Linked DNA regions of Mytilus edulis. The protein of the gene in region 1 purifies or fractionates together with the protein of each later gene. This does not show direct contact. Links are inferred from orthologs where the notes say so. Each region holds a gene or a part of one and is shown on either strand. Other genes may lie near its edges.

What was found.
Region 2: the proteins of vesicle-associated membrane protein 4-like (region 1) and vesicle transport through interaction with t-SNAREs homolog 1B-like purify together in Homo sapiens (affinity purification with mass spectrometry; 4 studies listed by BioGRID and IntAct, counting the BioPlex papers as one, with this or other methods). This does not show direct contact. The link is inferred for Mytilus edulis from reciprocal best matches to the Homo sapiens genes VAMP4 and VTI1B.

What each region holds. Positions count from the first base shown.
Region 1 is NC_092345.1:21,932,281-21,939,947, forward strand, and holds the start of vesicle-associated membrane protein 4-like, read left to right. Parts: upstream 1-4,569; 5' UTR 4,570-4,695; coding exon 4,696-4,761; intron 4,762-7,234; coding exon 7,235-7,281; intron 7,282-7,667. UniProt on the Homo sapiens protein: Involved in the pathway that functions to remove an inhibitor (probably synaptotagmin-4) of calcium-triggered exocytosis during the maturation of secretory granules.
Region 2 is NC_092346.1:5,321,483-5,329,078, reverse strand, and holds the start of vesicle transport through interaction with t-SNAREs homolog 1B-like, read left to right. Parts: upstream 1-4,581; 5' UTR 4,582-4,617; coding exon 4,618-4,717; intron 4,718-6,417; coding exon 6,418-6,476; intron 6,477-7,349; coding exon 7,350-7,460; intron 7,461-7,596. UniProt on the Homo sapiens protein: V-SNARE that mediates vesicle transport pathways through interactions with t-SNAREs on the target membrane. These interactions are proposed to mediate aspects of the specificity of vesicle trafficking and to promote fusion of the lipid bilayers.

The DNA.
Region 1 (7,667 bases):
TACCTTGCTTATACTGATTACAAAATAATTCTTGTTAGTAGAAAAATAGCGCAATCTAGTTCATCATGAATATTCTAAACTATGATTTTCTTTGATATAAATACATCAACAAAGTTGGAAAACCTAAATGAAATCTATATCAAAAGTTAATATCAGCAAGGTCTTCGAGGAGTGAGATAATGAGTGTTTATAACCTATTTCTATGCCCTTGACCGTCTGTATGTACGTACGTATGTCCAAAAATTGGTTTCTGTTCTCTAACTTGAGTTTGCCTCAACCAAATATTATGAAACTTATACACAATGCTAATAACCTCAAAACACAGATCAAGTATCAATTTTGGTGGCGTCACTTTCTCCGTTCTAGAGTTCTGCCCCTTTCTTTATAAATGGAAAAATTGCTTAATTTTTGGAAAGATTGGAACTTGTTCTAAATCTTTCCTTAGGCACTGGCCTTCCTAACAACACAACAGGTTAGCTACTATTACTGCATGTATTCACTCTGAAATATAGTTCCCTATAGTTCTCATGTATTTGCACATAATACACATATAAACTGTGAAAAATGGGTATATTTTTGGAGCAGTTCATTCAATAATGTATGTAATTAAGGTGTGTTGATGTGCAGGCTTGTTTTAAGCATTTTGATTAGGTAATTGAGTATTGATACAATACTAGTATGATTGACAACTGTCATTATCACCAAACAATCAGGGACAAGGTGAACCGTAAATTACAATGCCCCACCTAAACTGTCAATCAAATTGACCACATTACATCAGTGTTACAAAATTGTATAGGCCCAATAAACATCTCAATACACAAATGTATATATTAAATGTTTGATATATAAGGATGATAGATTTATTTATTGCCTATTACTTTTGATCTACATTACATAAAGTGATTCTGTAAATTATGTCTGAAAGATAAATGATTAATTAAGGATTAATTAAGGATTAACACGATCTTTAAAAAAAAATGAAATATAAATATAAATATGAATATATAAAAGGTATTCAAGTTAGGCCTTTAATTTACTTGATAAATTTCCAATAATCATCTGTAATAAATCAACAATTTAGGTTAGTTCACTTTTTTTTTTATCAGAAATTGGCTTGATGAACAGTTTTAAAATTTTAAAACTTTTATTTATAACAAACCATTTTTTAGCTCACCTGGCCCGAAGGGCCAAGTGAGCTTTTCCCATCACTTTGCGTCCGGCGTCCGTCGTCCTGCGTCCGTCGTCGTTAACTTTTACAAAAATCTTCTCCTCTGAAACTACTGGGCCAAATCAAACCAAACTTGGCCACAATCATCATTGGGGTATCTAGTTTAAAAAATGTGTGGCGTGACCCGGTCAACCAACCAAGATGGCCACCACGGCTAAAAATAGAACATAGGGGTAAAATGCAGTTTTTGGCTTATAACTCAAAAACCAAAGCATTTAGAGCAAATCTGACATGGGGTAAAAATGTTTATCAGGTCAAGATCTATCTGCCCTGAAATTTTCAGATGAATCGGTCAATCGGTTGTTGGGTTGCTGCCCCTGAATTGGTAATTTTGAAGAAATTTTGCTGTTTTTGGTTATTATCTTGAATATTATTATAGTTAAAGATAAACTGTAAACAGCAATAATGTTCAGCAAAGTAAGATCTACAAATAAGTCAACATGACCAAAATGGTCAGTTGACCCGTTTAGGAGTTATTGCCCTTTATAGTCAATTTTTAACCATTTTTCGTAAATTAAAGTAATCTTTTACAAAAATCTTCTCCTCTGAAACTACTTGGCCAAATTAATCCAAACTTGGCCACAATCATCTTTGGGGTATCTAGTTTAAAAAATGTGTGGCGTGACCTGGTCAACCTACCAAGATGGCCGCCACCGCTAAAAATAGAACATAGGGGTAAAATGCAGTTTTTGGCTTATAACTCAAAAACCAAAGCATTTTGAGGAAATCTGACTGGGGATAAAAATGTTTATCAGGTCAAGAACTATCTGCCCTGAAATTTTCAGATGAATCGGTCAATCGGTTGTTGGGTTGCTGCCCCTGATTTGGTAATTTTGAAGAAATTTTTCTGTTTTTGGTTATTATCTTGAATATTATTATAGTTAGAGATAAACTGTAAACAGCAATAATGTTCAGCAAAGTAAGATCTACAAATAAGTCATCATGACCTAAATGGTCAATTGACCCCTTAAGGAGTTATTGCCCTTTATAGTCAATTTTTAACAATTTTCATTAATTTGGTAAATTTATGTAAATTTTTACCAAATAAAGTTCTCTGTTACTAATGGGCAAAGTTCATGATAGATATAATTGTAAGAAGCAAAATCGTTCAGTAAAGTAAGAACTTCAAACACATCACCATCACCAAAATACAATTTTGTCATGAATCCATTTGTGTCCTTTGTTTAATATGCACATAGACCAAGGTGAGCGACACAGGCTCTTTAGAGCCTCTAGTTATTAATTTATTCCCCATCAATCATTATACATGTCTATTTTAGTCATTTGAATTTTTATAAGAAGTGGATATATATTTTTGCTATCAAGAAAAATCTGCATTTCAATAAAATAAGTTTTTTAATTTGTTTACTTTGAAAAACTACATTTTCAATGCCCTGTGCTGAATAAATACTTTATAAATTGATCAAAAGGCACTCTACAACTTTTAATCTTTTAAAAATGTCATATAACCTATGCGTCAACTTACAAAATGCCCCAAAATGAAATTATTAGATTATATTTGTTGACACTTTAAATTTCAGTTGTTGGTCCTTAAAACATGTAAAAAACAGGCAACATTATTTGGATAAGATATTAACTGCAGTTTCAATAAAATTGTGCAAATTTAGAGACCCATATTATTTTATTTGAGCTCATTTTATCTTCATACTGGAAAAGCACTTTTATTCCTGCTAGAACCCTGCTGTTAATGCAATTTTCAGCAATACTGTTTTATTAATGTTCTTTTGTCCCCACCATACCTTTATATGAAATTGTTCAAACTACTCTTCCAATCTTTCCACAGGTGTTATCTAGCACTTTGATTAGTTTCCATTCTCTAACTTAAGTTTGCCTCGACCAAATGTTATGAAACTTATGCACAATGCTCATTACCACAAAACTCAGATCAAGTTTGAATTTTTGTAGAGTCAGTTTAACCGTTCTAGAGTGATGCCCCTTTATGAATTAAAAATTTGCTTAATTTTTAGTTTCCGTTCTCTATTAAATTAAGGTTTGCCTTAACCAAATGTTATGAAACTTATACACAATGCTTATTACCACAAAACGCAGATCAAGTTAGAATTTGGTAGCATCACTCAAATGGTTCAAGAGTTTTGCTCCTTTAAAAGTGGAAAATTGCAAAATTTTGAGTTTCCGTTCTCGAACTTTAAGTTTGCCTCAACCAAATATTATCAAACTTGTACACAAATAAGTTGGGTCACTATAACCATTATTGAATTATGCCCTTTATAAATGGAAAAAAATGCAAAATGTTTAGTTTCTGTTCTCTAACAAGTTGCCTCAAGCAAATGTTATGAAACTTGTACACAATGCTTATAACCACATAAACCTAAGTTTGCCTCAGCAAAACATTATGAAACCTATACACACTACTTATTACCACAAAACTCAGATCAAGTGCAATATGGGTCACTTTTATTGTTCCTGATTTATATCCCTTTATAATGTTGTATGCAAGCTGGGGCATTTATTAAAGAAGTTAAGCTACTGGGAAATTGATATATGGAAAATTGCAGTGAAAACCATTGCTTTTAGGATATTTAATTAAAAAAAATTAGGTTACCTCCTCCCCCCAAAAAAAGATAACTAAAATAATTGGGCGGTTTACCAGTCTAGCATGAACATCATGCCACAAAATGAACTCCAGTATAGAAGGCAATATTATATTGGGATAGGAAATGTGATTTATCTTATTTTCAAGATGGCAGAACTGGCTATTCTATATAATATACAATGAACATTGTATCACACAACAGTATTATACAAAGTGCACATCATACCACAAAATGAACATTATATTACAGAGTAAACATCATACAACAAAGTGAACATCATGTCACAAAATGAACATACAAAGTGAACATCATGCCATAAAATGAACATTGTTTCACTTAATAAACATGTCACTAAATGAAGATCATGTCACAAAATGAATATTACATCACAAAATAAACATTTAATCTCAAAATGAACATCATACAACAAAATGAATGCAATGCCACAAAATGAACATTCAAAGTGAACATAACACAAAATGAACATTAAATAAAAAATGACCATATATATCACAAAATGAACAATATATCACAAAATGAACATCATTTCACAAATGAACATAATGCCTCCAAAATGAACATTTAAAAATAAAAAATAAACACTATACTATATACTATCCCATAGCGAGTGTGTCTTAACCCTTTGATTTTACAGACAAACAATTATAGTATTTGTCTCGATAAATCTGATCGGTGATGGGCGTGATGATGATGAGCCAGATTTTGCCGTACGCCGGATATACTGATTGTTACAAGTAAGTGTAGCCTCATTATTCACACGTTTCCGGTTTGATCACAACAAAACTGACATCTGACATGTATTTCGAAAAACCTCTGTAAATCACCACAGGACTCTGTCATTTGATAAAAAGTCAACAATTTTATAAAATGCCACCAAAGTTCGTCAGACAACATGACAATATGGATTCTAACCGAGCCAGAAGCGCTGAAACGGTATTGTACATATAGCATCATCCAAGTCCAAAATGACTTTTTTTTTATGTCTGTTGTCATCTATCAGAAGAAAATAAAGCACTTTTCACTGTTTAAAACATTTTGAGTGTTGCACTTCGCCCTTCAACATTAGAAAACAATCAATCATGCATAAGACGGTCATCAAAATAACAATGTGTGACAGATCAAATGCAAGAAACCAATGTCAGGCAATGAGCACATGCACATTGTTTGTTTATATTTTTGCATAAATCCTTGTCTTGCTTTTTTTAGATCACTTTTATGTGTACAGTTCTTGCCAGGTTGTCTAATCACCTTCAAAAATGAGCTAAAAAACATCAAACCATTCAATAGAAAAAAATTAAGGCCTAATTTATAACAAAACCATTGATCATGTTGATGAAAAAAAACCAAATATTACAGACAAGAACCAATGAAAACCACTGAACTGCAGGGTCCTGACTTGGGACAAGCACATACATTTGTCAATAATGTGGCAGGTTTATTTATGTACATTGTAAATAATCTTTAACATATGCTGTTTGGCAACAAGGGTTATGGTTATTTTTCGAAAAAAATAATTCTGATACCCAATATGAAATGTATGATGAAAAATAATTATCTGGCCAAGCAGATGACAAAAAAAGTATTCTGAATCCCCCATACCTTACAGTATTAAAAATTGAAAAAAATTATTCGATTGATAGCTTGGAAAAGCTAGAAAAATAATTTTGAGCTTTGTAGATAAAAAAAAAATAACACCTCCTCTCCCCACCAACCTGAAGTTAAATGGTTGCTTATTTAGTCCTTAGTATGGGGTTTTGTGGACTTTTTAAAGTTAACTTTGCACTTAGATCTTATTTAAGGAATTTCCAATGATGTAGCCATAAAAATATCATTTAAAGCTTAACATCTAAGTATAATGGCCACCTGTCACACACTAATGATTTAATCAATAATTTCTCCACCTGACTCCAATCTTACCAGGTTTACATTGAACATCTAGTTCTATATACATATGTATATGTTTCTTCTCTATCTGAGTAAATGTCTAAAAATAAAAATCATCTAAGAATTTTAAGATGATTGATTGCTGGTTGCTTTATGTACAGTAGCAAATATTTCATGCTTTTCAAGAAGAGGAGAGGAAGGATTTTAAGATTGTAGACTTATGATTTAGTAAGACAGAATCTGAAATTGATAAAAAATGTGCCAGTCTATTTAAGTCAGTTTGGGAGCACCTCATCAAATAAGGAAGCCTTTTAAACAGATAACAGCCATACAGCATGAACAAAGACTTATATATTTTTTGTATTTACCACCAATTAAGTTACTGAACTAGTGACTTACAAATTTTTCCAATTGTGTGAAATTTTTTTCCAATTGTATGACATATGTTCAAGAATCTTTCATTTCTGTGTTCTTTAATTTTTAAGGTAGTTTTTCTCTATTAGTTATCTTTCTTAATTAGCACCCTCTGTTTCTCTAGATCTATATTATTTATGTTTTTTGACAATTTTTCTGTAGATTTGGTCCATTATTCTCTATTCTGTAAACTCCATCCAGAACCTCATGTGTAGATAATTATATATTGGTTGTGGAAACAACATGACAAACACATTGCTTATAGATAATACACATGATACAGAAAGCAAAAAAAGAAAGTTGAAAATTGTCATAGCACTATTTACCAGTCAATTCTGCGAACAAAATAATGTAAAATTGTCGCCCAGCACTGAAATTAATTTAGTGAGAAAAAAAATCAAGGTGTAATGAAGTAAAATGATACATTTCTAGTATAACCTACTGTGGATTCAGTAATTTTCATGGCTGTAGTAAAATTTGCATTTTCATTGATATTTGATTCAATGTTTAGCCAAAGTCTACATACAGACCTATATAAAATTTGAACTTCGTAGGACTTCAAATTCCATTGTTTACTTAAACCCAAAAAATCAACAAAATTAATAAATAAAAGACAATATTTATTATCACAAACACATTTACATTAACTGGTTATGGCATACAGTATTGAGACAATAAACTAAATTAATATCCTATCAATAAAAATGAATCCACTGTATATTAAGGGGGGGGGGGGGTGTCTCATCACGATTCACAAGTTGATTTTTTTGTCAATCACGATTCACAGAAAATAAATTTCCATGATCACGGATCAAGAAAATATTAAAAAAAAAATGTGTAGAAAATCGCATCACGATAGCGAAAGTGTGCCGATCACGAAGAAGGAAAATAACCCATCAGACCCCTCACCAATTAGTAACCTGTGACAAAATTCTTACATATTTCAGCCTTATTAGACATATATATGGTTGAGTTACCTGATAATCCAACAGCTTGGTTTGTTGTCTTGTGTTTCTTCAAAGCAAGTCAGTCCTCATTTGGACCACACTTTTACTTTACTTCTACACAACATGTATATGTGTAATATATACCATTATTTATTTTGCAGAGAGCACTTCTTGATGGAAATTCAGATGAAGAAGATTTCTTCTTGAAGTGAGTTTTTTCCTGTAGCATTTACATGATGAGTAGCAATAGCGTAAAGTATAAAATATATTGCATAGCATTGCAATCTCTTCTGGGTTCCTTTTGCTAGTTTAACCCCTATTGCATCAAAGGTATAACCTCATCTTGTTAATAAAAACAAATGAGCAATTGTTGCTTATTATAGAATTACTGTAGTCCTATAGCATGTAAAGTAAGAAGTAAAAATAAACAAGCTTAGTTTAAAGTATTTGATAATTTATTTTCTTTATGTATCTCACTGGTAAATTCTAATGTCTCAAAATATTGTTATACATGCATGTATGTGCATTTTCATTCTGGGAAAATATAGAGAAAAAAATGTGTTTCCTAAATAATCATAGATTTTTTTTTTTAAA
Region 2 (7,596 bases), on another chromosome or scaffold:
TCATTTTCACGGTTCATTGCACAGTGTTAATTTTTTGTTTTGGTCTATTTTTCTTAAACTATAAGTAATGTGTCAACTATATATGTTGTATAGAAGCATTGTTAGCTGTACCTGTCTGCCTGGCATGGTTCATCTGACCTGGACCTCTTTTTCAAGGTTCATTGGTCTTTGTTTAGTTATCTTGGTTAATGTTAAGTTCATGTGACAGTTGTAATAAAGCTTAGCTTTATACTTAGGACCATCAACATAATATCAATGATTAGTATAGAAGGCGAGACATTTCAGCGTGTGCACTCTTGTAAAAAGAAACCATTATAGGGCAAACTATGGTCTTCAACACAGAGCCTTGTCTCAACCAAACAGAAAGCAGTAAAGGGCCCCTAAAATGACAGCGTAAAACCATTCAAACAGGAAAAGCAACGGTCTAATCTATATAAAAAAAGAGAAACAGGAAACACTTATGAACCACAACAAACGACAGCCACTGAACATGTGGAGTTGATTTCACAAAAAAACTTACGACTAAGATTGATCGTAAGTATACTGATTTGTTCATGACCTAAGACAAATCTTAGTTGTAAGTTTTTAGGTGAAATCGACTCCATGTTTCTGACTTAGAACTGGTGCAAGTTTATCAGGAGATTTCAAGAATTTTATGTTAAATGCAGATGAAAAGAATACAAGAATGCTAATACAACACGCTGGTGATTTGCTGATACTTTCCAGTTTTAATAAGTCTTGTGTATATAGGACAAGATCAAAATATCAATGAATCCATTTGATAGATCTATTTAATTTTGTTGACTTGAATGATGAGAAGTGTGAGTAAGAACTGTTGTGAGGGTGACACAGTAATGTGTGAGGCACCAGTGTAAACATCCCATTTTCAAGATGATATGGCTGCACATTCAAATGTCAAAGTGAATGAGTGGCTTCAGTTCATTAGTGGTTTAAGTACATCAACAACTTTATCACTGGCCTGTCAACATTGAGGTTGTGAGTTGCCACCCTACCTGGTGGCAGGTGCGTTTAATTCCATTCTTGCACTCTGGCTTCCTTCAATAAAACCTGACTACCACAAAATAGCCAAATATGTTGAAAGTGGCATTAAACACTAACAACAACAATTAATTAAAATAAAGGGCTGTCAATAAGGATTTAAATGTCAATGAGAAAGCTTAGTTCTATTATATGATTTTCTTAACCATATTTCACACATTTGGTATCAAAATTCCAAAAATATAAATCTAATAGGAATTTTAAAAGGGGAAGGGAAAGGATAATCTAGTTAAACATCTTAGCTCAAAACTCAAGCCTGCATCAACTAATCCTTAGATTTTTTTTAGGTCTCATCTATGAAAGTAGAGGGACATAATATTATTCTTTCTGGTCTGTCTTGATGTTTTGGTCACACAAATTCAGTACACATGTTTATTGTGATGTTACTTTTTATAGAATATATGCAAAATTATGATATTTACTCACATTTTCAGAATCACTAGATAAAGAGAATAGATAGTATATAAAAGGCATGGTATCCTATGGATGCATATTGTTGTTCCATTATGCTATGATTCCTAAAATGGGCACAATTTGTATTACTGTGTCATTGGTCTAGCTGAGAAGGGTTGCCGTTACTCCTTTCCCTTATGTTAACAATTAAATGCTATAAATACAGAACATCAAAACCTTTTTTATAACTTGTAGAAAATAACAGTATTTACAGATTGTGAGGTTGTCATAAAACTGCACGAGATTCTGTTAGAAAATTTGTCAAACATATGCAAGTCTTCTTACTTCCAAGGGTTTGTGTTGTCAGAAGCATGGCACAACTGCCTCATTAGATGTTTTACACCCAAACAAATCCAGAGAAAGAAGGGAAAAGTGTTTACATTTTCCATTATATAGTTTAAAGATGGTGATTTTAATCATTGACTTCTTTATACCCTGTGGCTAAATTTCTGTCCCTATCCAATACAGTTCATTTTCAGTGAAGTCTCAAATTTCCTTACCCACTCTATTGCAGGAGCTCAATTGCATGACCTAACTATTGCATCTATGTATTTTTTAAACGTTGGAAAATCATGAAATATTTGTCACTGGACGTAAAGCAAACAACAATCAATCAATATTCCTTAGTCTAAGCACAAAGACAGATTGCTAACCTTTTAGCAAAGATTTGTAGGGTGCAAGATTGAAGAAGACAATGTCTGATGGTTTTGGACAAAAAGACAACTTAAGAGGCTCCAAGGGCCTATGGTTGCTCACACAGCTCTATATGCATCCTCAACAATGCACATTGTAGACTGGAAAAGAACACATGACAAAAATCTTCGTTTATGTTGATGTAGTGCTGATAATTTATTTTCTGTTTACAGTTTCTCTCTATCTTCTTTATTGTATTGCCAAATTCACAAAAAGAGTAAGAAAAATCATCATTAAATCATTGTCACTCCTATAAAAAGGCTACGATTTCAGTAAAATTTGACTAGTTTGTAAATCTGGTCTTGTTAATTGATAATTTTATGTAAAGTTTCTATATATATCTTTTTGAAATTTCATTAATTAGGCAAAAATCTTTATGCTGGCTGAGACTACTATAACACAGTTATAGTAGTCTCAGATGCTGGTAATCTTTGCTATTTATTAAACTTGTCTATAGATCTATCCTAATAGTTTTCTCGATGAAAGAAAGATCACTTAAAATGGCCATGGGTTAATTCGTCATTCAGCCCTGTTGATTTGTCTTTCTATAATGAGCTTAATCATTTTTGTCTCGCCTGCGACGAAAGTCTCAGAAGGCTAGACATAGAAGTTGCTTTACCTGCATTGATGGAACTTCCTATCAAACTGTCTCCGAACTCTATGTGATAGATCGATAGTTTGTATGAAGTTTGACGACTATTTTGAGGCGCTGTCCCTAGGTCATGGTCAAGTGACTGGATTAATTAGCAATTTCCAATGTTAAGTTTTCTGCTTATGTTAAAATTGAAAATGACAAATTACAAAGTAATGGACCTAGTCCTAGTTTAGTTTAGTTTAGTTTAGTTTAGTTTAGTTTAGTTTAGTTTAGTTTAGAAAAAAGGCTGAAAAATTAAAGAACTAAAAAAAGGAAGGACCACATCAAGATCCTGCTCATATCTGTACATTTTATTTTAATATGCATTCAACCGTTTTGTATTTTTTTACCAGCTAATACTGCAAGATGATTCTCGGCACTTTGTTCATGAGCGTAGCCTAAATACAAGCGGATTCCTGTTTATTTAAATAACTCATTTATTTCCTTTGACCAGGCTTTGAAGAAGACATTTTCGAAGGAAGAACTAAGGTTTACTTTCGACCTCATTTAGCCCATTTCATCATGTCAGGCATTGTCATTACTCAAAACCATTAAATGTCTTCTGAATCAATTTCGTCTTTAAATTCTAATGATACTGAGAAGATCCTTTACTAATTTTCAGTTTTTGTGGACAAAGGAACATAAATACATTGTGGAACCTTACAAATAGTACAATGTATATGCATGCATGTTCTTAGATACCATCTCCCATATCCAAATCACATCATGCAGAAATCAGTGGCGGATCCAGAACTTTTTATAAGTTAAATTCTCCCTCGCCCTGCTCGTCCGAATTTAAAGTATTTAATTTCTAATTCAATAGGCTATAAACAAGACAAACACAGATATAGGATTAGTTGCTCGCAGTAACATCTTATTTTCTCTTGCGATACAATATTTTATTTTACTGAATTGTACATATTTCTTCAATCGAAACATTATATAAACACATGACATATAACATTGTTCCTCTTTCGCATCGTTTCTTTTCCCCCGGCTAATGCCTCCAACGCCTGTACGTACAATAAACATAGCAGCAACTGCACATATACCTATGTGACCAACTTCAATCCGACGTAACTGCGAGCACCTTCGATACTAATACATTTAAATCCCAAACTTTATATAGTACCTTTAAACCCCACCCATAAAAACCGCCAAAACTTTCCTCGTGCCTCCTGCACCTAACATCAAACATATAAATAGTACATACTGTTACAAAACCAGTATCCGAACTAGTTATACTAGTTCCCATCTGTAAATATTAACTACAAATAGCAAACGGGAAAAACCCTATTTCAAACGAAATAAAATACATGTACCACTGACAGCCATAAAAGTTTCCCACGGTCAGTCATGATTTGTGATTCCCTGTATAATCAACCATATTTTCCACTCGAAAGGGCCGAGTAGCCCCCCCCCCCCCCCCCCCCCCCCTCCCAACCCCTGGCACCTGGATCTGCCTATGAAAATCAAGGATCTTACTATACAAAATTTAATTCTTGTGGAAATGTATCTAATGTGTTCCTCTCCTAGCTATCCAAAACCAATAAACGACGCTGCTAAATGGTTAGTGTCTGGTACAGGTAGGCCGTTATTATGCAACATATTTTAATAAAGAATCTTGTGGCAAGAACAAAGAACTCTTATTGTCAGAAAACACTGTCAAACATCTAAACATACTATCCACACTGATCTGTGTCCACACTTGTTAATTTATTTATATCCATCCCGAATTTTTTCAGTATTTAGAATGATCACATGACTGTCATGTCAAAATGTCTTCTGAAAAGTTTGAGTCACTCGAGGACGATTTGTCAAGTGTTTTGGATAGCATAAGAGACAGAGTCGAAGGGAAAATCCCAAATTTTGAGGGAGGTTGTAAATATATATTACTTATTGTTTTACAATTTCCTAATATCTATCTGAGACTACTAAATGCAGACATCACTGCATTCTGATATGTTGTAAAGTCCGAGACTGAGTCAGAGTTGGGTTCACAAAACTGTCAAAGGTCTACATAGTCCGAGATTACTCTGACGTCCAACGGCTGTTTTGCCAGACAAGTCCCACGGCCCCAGCTTGTCTGGCAAAACAGCCGTTGGACGTCAGAGTAATCTCGGACTACGGTCTACATAATACTTCTTAACTTCAATATGTTGAAGATTACAAAAAGGCACATACTAGGGGGTAGTAGTATTTAAATCTGAACATATTTACATATAAAAAAAAAGAAGTTTTTTTTGTTTTTTTTTTAAATATTTTATTTATATATTATAGATGATTTTGATCTAGCAATGTATTTGTGATTTTGCACCAAATTTAAATGCTTCTAAGTCTTTGCTACTTGGTGTAGCAAGAAATTCCACAACCTAATTGTTCTAGGGAAAAAATAAATATAAAATTATGCAAGACTACACGTATGTATGGGGACAATACACCTTATCGCTACATCTACATGGATAATCCGTAAAGAGTCAGTTGACTCATCACACGAATATGTCAAAATTAAAGTTGTGTCATCCAAAATGTGTTTTCTTTTAAAATCATATGTACAGGTGCTATTCCCCACTGACCTGAGAATCTATCTCGCTTGACCTGTTGAAGTCATACAACAATCACTTCTCCATTGTGGCATCAGATATTTTGTATTATCGCACCACAGGTAAATTAGCACATTGTGATTGGTATAACGCCGTCACCTGGTGACCCCTTAGGCCTATGGATCCGTAGGGGGTTAGTAAATTTCAAAGGGGGTTCGTGACGTCACGTCTACTGTTAATGGTGACTTCATCTATTAATGTTGATGTGTTTCATTGCTTATTTTTCTACAAAACGCAGCAGAAAAAGTCCAGCGTGCGACAAACCATATAACTTATTTCATGACATCAAAATTTTACGGAAACCTGTGTAATGTTCAGTAATGGTGGACAAATAGCGATAAGGTGTATAACAATCTCGTCCCACAATGCACCTTACAATTTACAGTAAATATAATGAAGTTACTGTTAAATCTATTTATAATATCTTACCTGTAGAAAGATTAAAAGAAGCAAACAATCAATTTCATTAAAATAAGGTCTTTTATCCAGGGATGGGGTAATTGAAAATGTAATGGTAATTAAGTGTAATGCATTACAATTTTCCATGTAATTGAAGGTAATGTGTAATTGAGCATTTTTTCAATTACTTGTAATGGTAATTTAATTAATTACAATGAAAAAAGCATGTAATGCTCAATTACTTTTGAATTACATTTCAATTACATGTACTTTTATGGTGTCTATGATAAGGATTTATGTTTAATAATATAAATTGTAAAATTATATTTATTTTTCAAATATTGATATCACATACTTTCTGTAATTTATTCTTAAGTTTTTATATTACTTATTTGACCAACAGAATTTTTTTTAAAGTTTTATCATCATTATAAAATTTCATTTGGCATTTGAATCGGGAAAATATTATGTTTTGGAACAATCGATCTGTACATAATAGCATATATATATATTGTATTGATTAAATATAGTTTTGACAATTATTTTTATTTTTCTCATGTTCTTATTTTTTGACAGAGGAGAAAAAAACAGCCATTCGCCATGCAGAAAGAAATATTGAAGAAGCAAACTTCATTGTAAGTGTAAACTGGTTAAAATATCTTGTCAATAATTTCCTGTTTACAGTGAATACTTCATCTACCATTTTGCTGCCACCATCAATAAACTGAATATATAGAAAGCAAAAGTTCAATGTTCAACTTGTAAATATGTTGATGTTTACAGTCTACAAATATTTTTTTCATCAAAATATTTATGAATGAAAAACACAAATGTTGACCAAAATAAATGAATACATAGTACATGAATTAATTGTGCAAAGTTTATGTAAACAGCAGAAAATATTGCCGTAGTTTGTTGTCAAGAAAAAAAAATATATAAAAAAGAAGATGTGGTATGATTGCCAATGAGACAACTCTCCACAAGAGACCAAAATGACACAGAAATTAAAAACTATAGGTCACCGTACGGCATTTAACAATGAGCCAAATAGTATATGATTTTAAAAGGATAATTAACATAGTTACAGCCGATTCCATTGAGTGTGTAGGCAAAGTCAATATGTTTGGTTAGCTTGCTTGCCAGCTGAACAGTGAAGTCATTATTTGGTCAGGTAAACTACCCTCCTTTAAAATTAGACTAGTCTGAAAGATTAACAATCTATCTGTCTGTAGGACTAGGCTACTTCAAAAGGAGTGTAGTATACCTTACCTAATAATGACTTCACAGTTCAACTAGCAAGCATGCTAACCAAAGATATTACCTTTGCCTACACACTCAATGGAACCGGCTGTTCTAGTTTTTTTTAATAAACTGAAGTATTTTTTCTAAAATTATTACAAAAAATTCTAAAAATCAAATATTCTAAAATTTCAGATGGGTGTGGATTAAATCATCAGAGTAAAAGATAAAACCAAAGTTTAATCCATATTTTTGGTATTACATTTCAGTTACAGGAAATGGAAAGTGAAGCAAAGATGGCTCCTATTTCTTACAGATCTCAACAAATATCCAGAATACGTAACTACAGACATGACTTAGATAATATAACAAAGAATCTGGTAAGTTCCAATTGATGGTAATAACAGTAAATAATACCTGGTGAGGATACAGAATTTGATGTTAGACATAATGGTGGGGGTGTACCTGAGAATGTTAAAGAAACTTAATTTGACACAAGATTGTCACTTAATAAAC